Linked DNA regions of Mus musculus: region 1 is reported to be linked to region 2. Evidence: microRNA targets listed by miRTarBase, many of them from high-throughput screens and not tested one by one. Region 2 holds a microRNA gene; the other region holds the end of a gene's coding sequence. Distances are from middle to middle.
The links. Region 2 holds the annotated microRNA mmu-miR-153-3p (UUGCAUAGUCACAAAAGUGAUC, at 3,338-3,359, shown strand). A microRNA usually pairs through its seed, bases 2 to 8, with sites in the 3' UTR of a target mRNA and lowers its output. Matches are read on the target gene's strand: a 7mer-m8 pairs with bases 2 to 8, a 7mer-A1 pairs with bases 2 to 7 and ends in A, and an 8mer does both.

Region 1 (5,000 bases), 25 Mb from region 2:
TTACCAGTTCCTGGTAAATTTATATCTTCCCCAGGACAATGTTCAATTAGTTCATGGGAATCTGACTGACAGATATTAAAAATGAAAGACAGATTCAAATTTCCCCAGATGAATGCATTCTAGAATTTCATTTCTGTACTTCACTAAGAGTTAGCTAAAATGTTCAATCTTCAGGTCAAGAGCAAAGTCTGCACATGAAGGCCTTTGAATGTGGCACACGCCCAGACAGATAACCAGAGAGGGGGTCTTTATTTCACAAGTTTCCAGATACAGTACAAAATGAATCTGTACATCTCTCTATTAACAGGATTTGTTTACACAATTATAATACACGTCACCAGCCGTTATACTGCATTCCATTAAATACAAAATAAATTTACAAAAAGTCTAGTATGGTGTTCCTTCATGACGTCAGCTTATGCTCTTTAAGCATGTCCCTCAACATCTCTAGTGGTCATACTTTGATCATATCAACGTTGTTTCTTAAATAAAAGAGAAATAGTGTCAGATCGTTCACCAATAAATAGTAAACAAAGAACATCTGGATGGCTCCCTGCTCATAACCAAAGGGCCCTTCATATGCATACAAAATCGGCTTTCTGATGTGTAAACAGGCTCTTTAACATAGAAATCATTGGTATATGGGGTTATTTCAAATTTTCTTCAAGTCCCTAGTGGGTGAAGACACTTAGCTTCTTTTTCAAAGAAAAATACCCACTTAAAAACCTGACAATACAGCATCCAGAAATAGTTTCTCTCGTATCTGAGGCAATAACTGATGAAAATAGTTTTTTTTTTTTTTTTTTTGCATAAAATAGTTTTCCTTTGTTCCGGTTACTTCTTGCGTATCTTCTTGCGTGTTTTGCAGATGTGGTTGGTCACTGGTTGCAAATGCCACACACACAAGGGGTTGAGGTCTGCATGTGGAGGCTGCCATGGCTGCTCCTAAGCACCAGAGAGCAAACCTGGGGAGCAGAGGAGAGAGAGAAAACCCAACCAAGCAGCCAGACGAAACCAAATTCTGTGTAGAGAACCCCCAGCCACCCGCTCCTCACCAGACCCCTGGAGCAGGGTTCTAACGCTTCTCCAAGGTAGAGATGGTGAGTGGTAATATGTTCAGAAGTTAATCTATCTATCTATATATATCTTCAGAAGAACTACAAGCCTTCAGGAGTACCAAGATTTAGGACTTGTACTTTTACATTAATCTAGTTTAGGTATTAATAAATTTGGGGGAAAATAAAGCCCCTGTCAGACCTTTTTCTGTATTATCGGCTAGTAACTAAGAAAACCCAGAAATCAGAAACAAAAACTTCAAAAACAAAAACTCCACTTTTGTACACCGCCACAGAAGTAAAATTTGTGTTCTCTAGACTCTGATGTAGCTGGTTGCCCAACGGGGCGGGGCGCAGGAGAACAGAGGCTCGTCAGAGAGCCTTGGTAGGCCGCAAGACAGACCTGCGAGACAGACCACGAAAGGCAGCAGTAGGGATGGGCTACAGGGAGGAAGGAAGCCACGCTCTAGCTGGTAAATCTAAATCCTAATGCTAAAACTCCCGAATCCTGGAGTTGGCTTAATGTCACTGACATCAACTAGCTTTATTGCCACTTTATTCAAATGGATGCCATTAGTAAGTACTGTGCATTATTTTTAAGAGAACCACCGAACCCAGTGCCTATTTGCTTCGGTCCCACGTCCCACAGACTCTAGGTAAGAGAACAGAGCAAAGCGCTTGAGATCATCTAGGAAAGCAGCAGCGAGAACTGAGTTCTCGCAGTAGACGCCGCAGGCTGGAAACAGAGGGTAAAAGTCTCGGGAAGGGCATCTGCTGTAGTGACCGTTCGTAAAAGGACAGCAAGGGGCAAGTCTGCTACATGAAGAACAAACCTAGACTGTCCCGTCCAGCCTTAGGTAGTGTATGCTATTTTAAGAGATATTTTCTTCAAGTACTTTCTGTGGGAAGTAAAGATGGAGGCAAAACTGCTGCCATCCAAGGAGGCCTGAGGTGGATGGCACAGGAAAACCACAGAAGCCAGTGGCATCTTAGAGTTTCCCATCTTTTTATTTATTTATTTGTAGAGACTGGGTCTTGTTGTATTGCCTAAGCTGGTCTTAACCCCCCAGCCTACTGTGAGTGACAGGAGACTGCAGCTACACACCACTGTGCCCAGTTCCTGTGAATCATGTAAAACCTGCCTTCTAAAGGAAGAGAGACGGCAGAGACGGGCCGGGCCGTAGCGTATTTCCTTTCCTGGGCTGAGGGAGGGGCTGGGAGAGGAGGCAGGGCTAAGGACCCTGTTTACTGCACCGCTCACAATCTAGTCTTTCAGCACAGGACACCAAATGAGCCTTACTATTTACAAGCCCAAAGCAACATTACATTTTTGAGAGGAATGCTGGCTGCCTCTCAAAGATCTGCCTCTCTGTGGCCATGTCTTCAAATTTGGAGGCAAATATCTTCGAGGAAAATTTTTGCTTCCTGGGTTTCCCATAATACTGTGAGCACACACAAATGTACACAACTTCACACTTAAAGCCTTCATGTTCAATACAGATGAACTACATTGAATTCTCATGACAATCCCAACATTCAAACTCAAAGCTTTCCAAACTCCACAAGTGATAAAGTCGTTTCATTGCAGACAAGGATTACAGAAAACAATGGAAAGGCGATAATGAACAGGGGCGTGAGCTCCCATGGGGTGCTGGCTACCCAACGCTACCATCCACAGATCTGATTACACAGACCACAAATTCAGCTTGGGCTTTGGGGTGATTATGTGAAGCTCTCAGTCGTTGTTTTCGCCTCTTACTGAAGCAGGCAATGCTGGGTGTAACTGCTTTAATTTCCTAATGTTTACAACAGAAGGGCGATAACACAACAGCTACTCAGTGGCTGACTTTCTACAGCCACATCAAACCGTCAGAAATAAAAAGCTCCCGCAGCATACACAACGGTGCACCCAGGCCTTTGGTTTTGCCATGCATTGGGTCTAACCCATCCTCCATTGTCTGAGTATTTTAGTATTTTAGTATTACAAAGGAAGTCACCACCTGCCAATCTTGACAATAGCATTTCATATTTGAAGACTTTGGGAGGGTTGTCTGTTCTCTGTGCCATAAGAAATGTGAAGTAAAATGAGATCCGGGAAGCAACGAATCTACCCGAGGGAGGGCATGTCCCAGGTCCCACCTCAAGTTGGTTAAGGCTGTTTTCTGATTTCTCCATTTAGATCATCCTCTGGCGTCTGGACTAGGGCTCTGTATATGCAACTCACATGAGTAGCTGGGGCAAAGTCCTCTGTGGGAGCACGGAGTCAGCTGACTGAGTTTGACTTCTACTCCATGGCAGGGATGTGACATCACGAAGAAGTCTTTAGCAAAGCCTTTCAGTCTTTGAGGAAGAGAAGTTTGCTAGGAAGTGTCAGAGTCACAGTACAGGAATCCGATCAATAATCCCTTTTAAAATAAGAGTGCCGAACATATGACCTGGCATGTAGACTGGTAAAATTTCCCAGTTACTGCATTTCCCAAACACCCTGAAGACGTCCTGCTTGGCTTGTTTTGCTTTTGACTTAATGGCAAGTTCTAGTCTCAGACTTAAGCATGTTTTTAGGGTTAAACTTGCAACTAACTGGGTTTCCCCAGGTTGTCAATGCTCAGGACCTTAGAAGACAGGTAAGAAGTTATGCACATCAACAGGATGACGAAAGGTCTCTCAGGAAAGACAGGGTACAGTAGACATGACTCGAGTGTCTTGTGTATGTTTGCAGAACGAAGAAAGAAAAAGGAAAGAGGAAAGCCACTGAGAGTTGTCATTCCGTATGGCACTGAAACAAACATTCACTGCAGCTCTGCCGAGAGCCGCGCATCCCTGAAAAGGAAGGCAGCAGGTTCTAAGCAGCTTCTGGGATTCAACACGCCTCACGCCTCTTCCAGGCGGTGCCACCATCCAGAGCCCTACATCAAATGCAAGCGTTCTCAGCAAGCAGCTCCCCAGTGGTCACCGACCAAGGTGAGTGTGTGGCTGCTACTGTGGTGGCTGCTGCTCTGGTGGTCCTTCCTGCTGGGGAGGAGCCGGCCGTGGCCCTGGGGGCCTGGGAACTGGTATGTCCTGGTGCTGTCGCTGCCTGTAAGCTATGACTGTACCCAAGAGCAGTGCAATGATGGTCATGAGGTAAAGGTCCCACTCGGGTCCCAAAAGCTGGTCCATATCCAGTTGTGTGAATAGATCTCGAATCTTAATGAGAAAAACACAAAAAGCATTAGCACTTCGATGTCGGTGAAAGAACTCTGAAACTAGTTACTTAACAGTAGACATAAGCATGAGACTTTGAAAAACTAAATTCTAGGACACTGTGATGATTTTTAAACCCTTCTTCTACTGACACCCAGAGGGTGTGTCTCAAGAACTAAGCTAGGGTTTCCTAATAGCGGACATCAGATGTCTAACTGTTTTTTCCATCAGAAATCTAATTCGGCAATTTCTAGCTATTTCTCTAGTAGATATCTGAAAGGATCAGCAGAACAATAAAAGACCCCTCCGCCCCCAAGTCTGAATCCTGGCACACCTCTAACCTGTCCGCAGTGACAGCAGGCAGGTGACGGCCAGCTGTGCTCCGCCCATGGCACTGACAGCTACAGGACCGGGTGTCCACTTGATGAACAAACACCTCTTTTTGGTTGTTTTAATTAAAATGCACACCATTTTACAAAGAAATCTGAACTTACAAGTTACATTCCTAGTCTCTGAGCTTTTGTGAAATTATGCCCGAGAGCCCTCATAATACACATCTGTAGGCGCAGGTGCTTAATTTTGTAGGAAAAAAAAATTCCAGGAAATGATTATGTTCCCGGGGAATTTTGTGTCTGTTCATCTAGTCTGACCTCCTTCTCATCAATACTTATTTCTCTTGCTTTTTTTTATGAACTGGGATTGCTTTGTTTTTTTTTTTTTTTTTTTTTTGTTTCAGTTGGAGAATCTTACTGTTCTCTTTCT
Region 2 (5,000 bases):
CATTGAGATAATGTATTCAGAGGGCTGAAGCAGCTGCAGTGTGCAGGATCTAAGGAGAGAGAAGTAAGTTCCTCAGGAGTGGGATATTGGAGACTGTTTCTGACGGGAGTAACCACAAGTTGTATCACCTGCAGATGGTGTGGGAAAGCGGCTGTGCAGTCATTGTCATGCTGACACCCCTCTCCGAGAACGGCGTCCGGCAGTGCCATCACTACTGGCCCGATGAAGGCTCCAACCTCTACCATGTCTACGAGGTACCAGGACCGGGTGCCTACTCAGGGGCGTGACAAGAAGCATATGTCTCTAGTCCTCATCCACAACCTAACCTGTGGGGCTAGGACATCCCCAGGGAGGGCTGTCAGCACGTTGACATCAGAGGGATCCAGGTGTTATACAGCCAAGAGAGCCAGTGCCTTACACTGCAACCTAGTTAGGGATAAACTCAAGAATAAATGCTGTCATTCCATATCACAGTTGTATTAAGTCTCAAGGCTGATAAGAAGAAGAAAAAAAGTCTGTCATGCAAAGGTGGCCCAGGTTTCAAATAACAAGTATTCAGGTGAGGTCCATTTTCACAGAGAATGCTGCCCATATTCTAGTGGCTGGTGGGTTTCTTGCCTGAGACATGGGTCTGTAGTATTTGACCTTCCTATAAGGGGCAGATTTCCCTTGCTGGGTTTCCTACACATACCGGATGAAGGCAATAACTGTGGTGTTTAAGGTAGGAAGGACTCACATGGGGAGCATGTTAGAGGTCTCACAGGAGCCCTAACAGTATCACTGGGAAGTCATAGTCTCTAACCTTGAGAGATACAGGACTCCTCAGAATCTGCTGAGTCTTATGTCCCCTGTGTCCCCTGATCTAAACCAGCTAAACTCAGAGCAGAGGGGACCTTGGGGCAAAGCAGACCTCACCTGTCTGTCTCCTCGCCATAGTCTCCTCTCTCCCCAAACACAATGCTGTGCTCTGCAGTCTTGGGCTCACGAGCTTTGCTAATCTGTCCCCACCAGGTCAATCTAGTCTCTGAGCACATATGGTGCCAGGATTTCCTGGTGAGAAGCTTTTACCTGAAGAACCTGCAGACCAACGAGACTCGCACGGTGACCCAGTTCCACTTCCTGAGTTGGTATGACCAGGGAGTCCCTTCCTCCACGAGGTCACTCCTGGATTTCCGCAGGTAAAACAAAGAGCATGCTGCAGACTGTAGCGACTAGAGTGTGTGGGCTGGGCCAGGTCTCTCAGGTTTTGAGATGCTGCCTCCAAAGCAACAACTGGGCAGGAAGAGGAAGGGAGAGAGGGAAGGGTGTGTGTAGTTAGTGCCCCTGTTCTGTATGAGTGACTGTCCATCAGTCCATCAGATAAAGGTGAGGCAGCAGGCATCGTAGAGCTCTGCAGGTCTAAGCATAATTTAATAAGATTCTGAGACCTACCTAAGACTTTTATCCCATACAGTTTAGTAAAGTCAGATTTTTTTTTTTTTAATTTGGCGACTCATCTTCCAGCCAGGCTAAGGAAATTTTGCCAGGGAAAGGCCAGGTTCTAGAATAGAGAGTCTTGTATAGAAGCCTAAATATATCGAGCACATGAATGTGTATGTGTGTTTAGTGCAGTTTTGAAAGTGACAGTCTTTTTAATGCACTGGATTTTTTGTTTGTTTGTTTGTTTATTTGTTGCTCCAAATCAGCCAGCCATAAAAAAAAATTGTCTCCTTTCAAAGTGTCTTTATTGAGCTGTTGAGATGAATGCTAGACTTTCTTACAGGAAGATATTGACGGTGTAAAACAAAGAAAAATATGAGGTAGATGAGCTGTTTGCCCATCACACTCGTGATAGATAGGTCAGTGCCACCCAAAGTGGTAATAAGTGCAGAGACATCTTATCCATGCCAGTGTCAAGTTCTGTGTCTCACAAGTAGCTAACTGGAAGCCTGCTCGTCCAGCTGCCCTGCAGATTCTCAGACAAGGAATTAGGGAGCCAGGGCATGGCGTTTTACAAACTGTTGTGTCACCAGATAATATGACAGTCTCCAAGCCTGAAGTCAAGGAGAGTGTTGAGATAGAAACAGAGCCAAGATGGGCCTGGGCTGCTTAAATTCTCATCTTACAAATTCTGATTAACATGATGCTACTTCTAGTCTACACTGAAAAGAATATTTGCAGACTGGGTCTCCCTATGTAGCCTCTGGCTGTCCTGGAACTCACAGAGATCTGCCTGCCTCTGCTTTTCAAGTGCTAGAAATAAAATTTCTTTGTCTGAATGAGACATTCTTTGAAAAGAAATTTCATGAAAGAGTTTAAAGAAAGATGGGAATTTGGTACCAAGGCTAGTGGCTCCTGCCCAGTTGTCACCTCCCCATAGGAGCATTCAGAAACCCGAGAATATCAGAGAAACAGCCACAGCGCCTTCCTTCCTACCCCAATTCCCTAGCCACCAGACCCTTCCCAGTACAGACCTCCTGAAGATACACATAGGAAGTCTTTTGCTTATGACTGGCAAAGTGGATGCAGCTATGCAGATGGCTGTCCATCTCACTACCTGTCTCTTAAGCGCATCCAAGGGGTTTGCACATATATGTGTATAGGCCCGTGTCTGTATTCATATATGGAATGAAACATACCCATATCCAGCCCTCAAGGTTCATGACACTTCATGGAGAAAATTTGAATCCCCAAGTCTCCCCAACTCCAGAGTCTGAGATGACATGATCCAAGGTTTATGTAACATCATATATTAAACAGACTTTGAACCCCCGTGTTGCAGGCTTCAGTGGGGGAGAAAGCTGCTCTTGAAGCTTTGTGCAGGATCCAACAGCTCACTTGAGGACCCTTTTACCCTTTCTTTATCCTGGATAGTTGGCACAAATGACCACACTCTCTGGATACCCTGGCTTAGAAATAAAGTTGCCAGTGTCAGCTAGACGGATAGGAAGCCACCTTTGTGGACCCCACCTTGTTCAGGGGAGGGGGGTTCTAGTCTTGGAACAATAGCCTAGTGTTCTCAGCAGGCCTAGAGTGTGTGTCAGGCACCCAAGATGTGTAATTAACTGTTGCTGGAGCCCAGGGGGCATACATTTACACTTTAAAGAGAAACTGCTAAGAGATAATTAGAGTCACATGTGAGGGCTTGGCTCTACAAACCTCTCTTCTCTCCCCAGTCTCCGTGTTCTCTCTCCCTCCCTCTTTCCCTCCCTCCCTCTTCTCCTCTCTGCACCTCTTGCTGTGTTCCATGCATCCACTAACGCTGCTCACTGTCAAACCGACAAACCCTTACTTTGCCAGCTACTTAGCGGTGGCCGGTGTCATTTTTGTGACGTTGCAGCTAGTAATATGAGCCCAGTTGCATAGTCACAAAAGTGATCATTGGAAACTGTGACTGCAGCAGGGACATGGGGGCCCCTCTCTGAGCCTCTAACGACCTCACCTGACTTTGCTTGCTGTTCGTTTGCATGGCGACTCACTCAGTGACCAAAGGGTTGGTTTGTATTGCTAACGGTTCCTTCTTGGGGCGATCCTCCTGCAAAAGTCCACATAGTATCCATTTCTGCTCAATGTCGGAGACCTCGCTTGCTGGTAACCTGTCTAAGAGCAAAAAAAAAAAGAAAAAACAACAACAAAAAAAAAACAAAAACAAAAAAACAAAACAAAAACAAAAACAAAAACACAAAAAGCGAGACAACTGTGTATTGCTCATCTTCATGAACAACCAGCCCTTGCATCTCAGGTCCTCGGATGAACACACGGGCTCTCTGTGGGATGGTTTTGCTTTTCTATCTGTGGTATTTCACGCTGTTATAACCTGTGGTTCCTTGTTAATAAAGTTCTAAGCTATAACGCCACAAGTATTTCCATCCACTGTGTCTCCCACCCAGCCCCGGGTTGCATGTAAATATGTCTGGCACAGGGTGGGGTCTGGGGCGGGTATGAACATTTCAGTGAGATCTCGAAAAGGCCTCCTGGGGCAGTCAATCCAGAGAAAGCACACCTTAAGCCTCCTGTAGAGGAAGATAGGACCGTAGGAATGGAGATTTGGATGGCAGCCACTTAGCCTGGGTCACACTCCTACCTAGAGAGATCGTGAGTACATTTTGCTACCACGGGTGTGAGAGTTAACAGTGGTCTGCTTTACAGATCCCTTTTCTTACAGTGCATCTTCTCTTGCTCCCATCCGGAGAGCAGCACGGAGTAAACCGGGTAACTAGCCATCTGTGGGTATGCAGACCGTTTCCCAACCCACAGCAGCTAAGCATACAGTGTGGCCAGGAGTTAAAGGCATGGGTCTGTGGTTGTTCCTGTTAGCAGGGGAACTCTGCAGAAAAAGAAAGCTTTTGAGAGGAAAGCCACCCAGTGGGCCTGGCCCCTGGTCTCACAGAGCTTTGTGCCTGCCAGGCAAGGGCTCCATCTCTGCCACACCTCAACCCTCAGCACAGGCTCTAGTTTCACGCTCTGTGTTTAGCACCTCTGTGTGTCCAAGCTGGAACCCAGTGGGGAACAGGAAACTTTAGCAGGAGAGCCAAGTGGATCTGCTTTCTAACCTGGTTATTTTTCGGTATCCTGATATGTGGGCTCTATTGAGAGGGAGTTTGTCTCTGGTTTCTCCCCTCCTCCCATAATGCACCTCACACCGGTGACCACAAAAGGCTCTCTCAGAAAGGACCAAGAGAGAGCACACTTGTTTTGCCCTCATAGTTCTGAGAACTCCCCCTTTTTGGAGCCTCGGTGGGTGGTCCGGAGGCTCTAAAATGGTGAAGGTTTTTTACAGATTATATAGACAGAGCTGCCAGAGACCAAGAGCAGCTGAAAACAGCTTTGAACATGACCTGTCTGTAGGGGGCCATATCTTATCCAGGCTCTGCATCTGCCCTTCAATTCCCATTTGCTAGTTCCGTCGTGGGGGGAGGGGGAACTCAGACTTCTATCAGAAGTAGCTGAGTCTAGTAACACTGCAGTAGAAGTCAAATTTAAAAAAAAAAAAAAAGGAAAAAAAGAAAAGAAAAGCTTTC

Region 1: miRTarBase lists Sel1l as a target of mmu-miR-153-3p. Seed matches in the 3' UTR shown: 7mer-A1 at 806-812.

Annotation. Positions count from the first base shown.
Region 1 is chr12:91,805,813-91,810,812 of GRCm38, forward strand. It overlaps Sel1l (sel-1 suppressor of lin-12-like (C. elegans)), which reads right to left. Exons shown (of 21, transcript NM_001039089.1): 21 at 231-4,241. The coding sequence ends at 4,032. Among named protein-coding and RNA genes, the nearest start is that of Ston2, 22 kb to the left of the region's middle.
Region 2 is chr12:117,247,523-117,252,522 of GRCm38, forward strand. It overlaps Mir153 (microRNA 153), which reads left to right and starts at 3,295; the gene lies at 3,295-3,363. Ptprn2 (protein tyrosine phosphatase, receptor type, N polypeptide 2) reads left to right here. Exons shown (of 23, transcript NM_011215.2): 18 at 135-254; 19 at 1,012-1,178. All of the region lies in intron 2 of Gm5441 (predicted gene 5441), which reads right to left.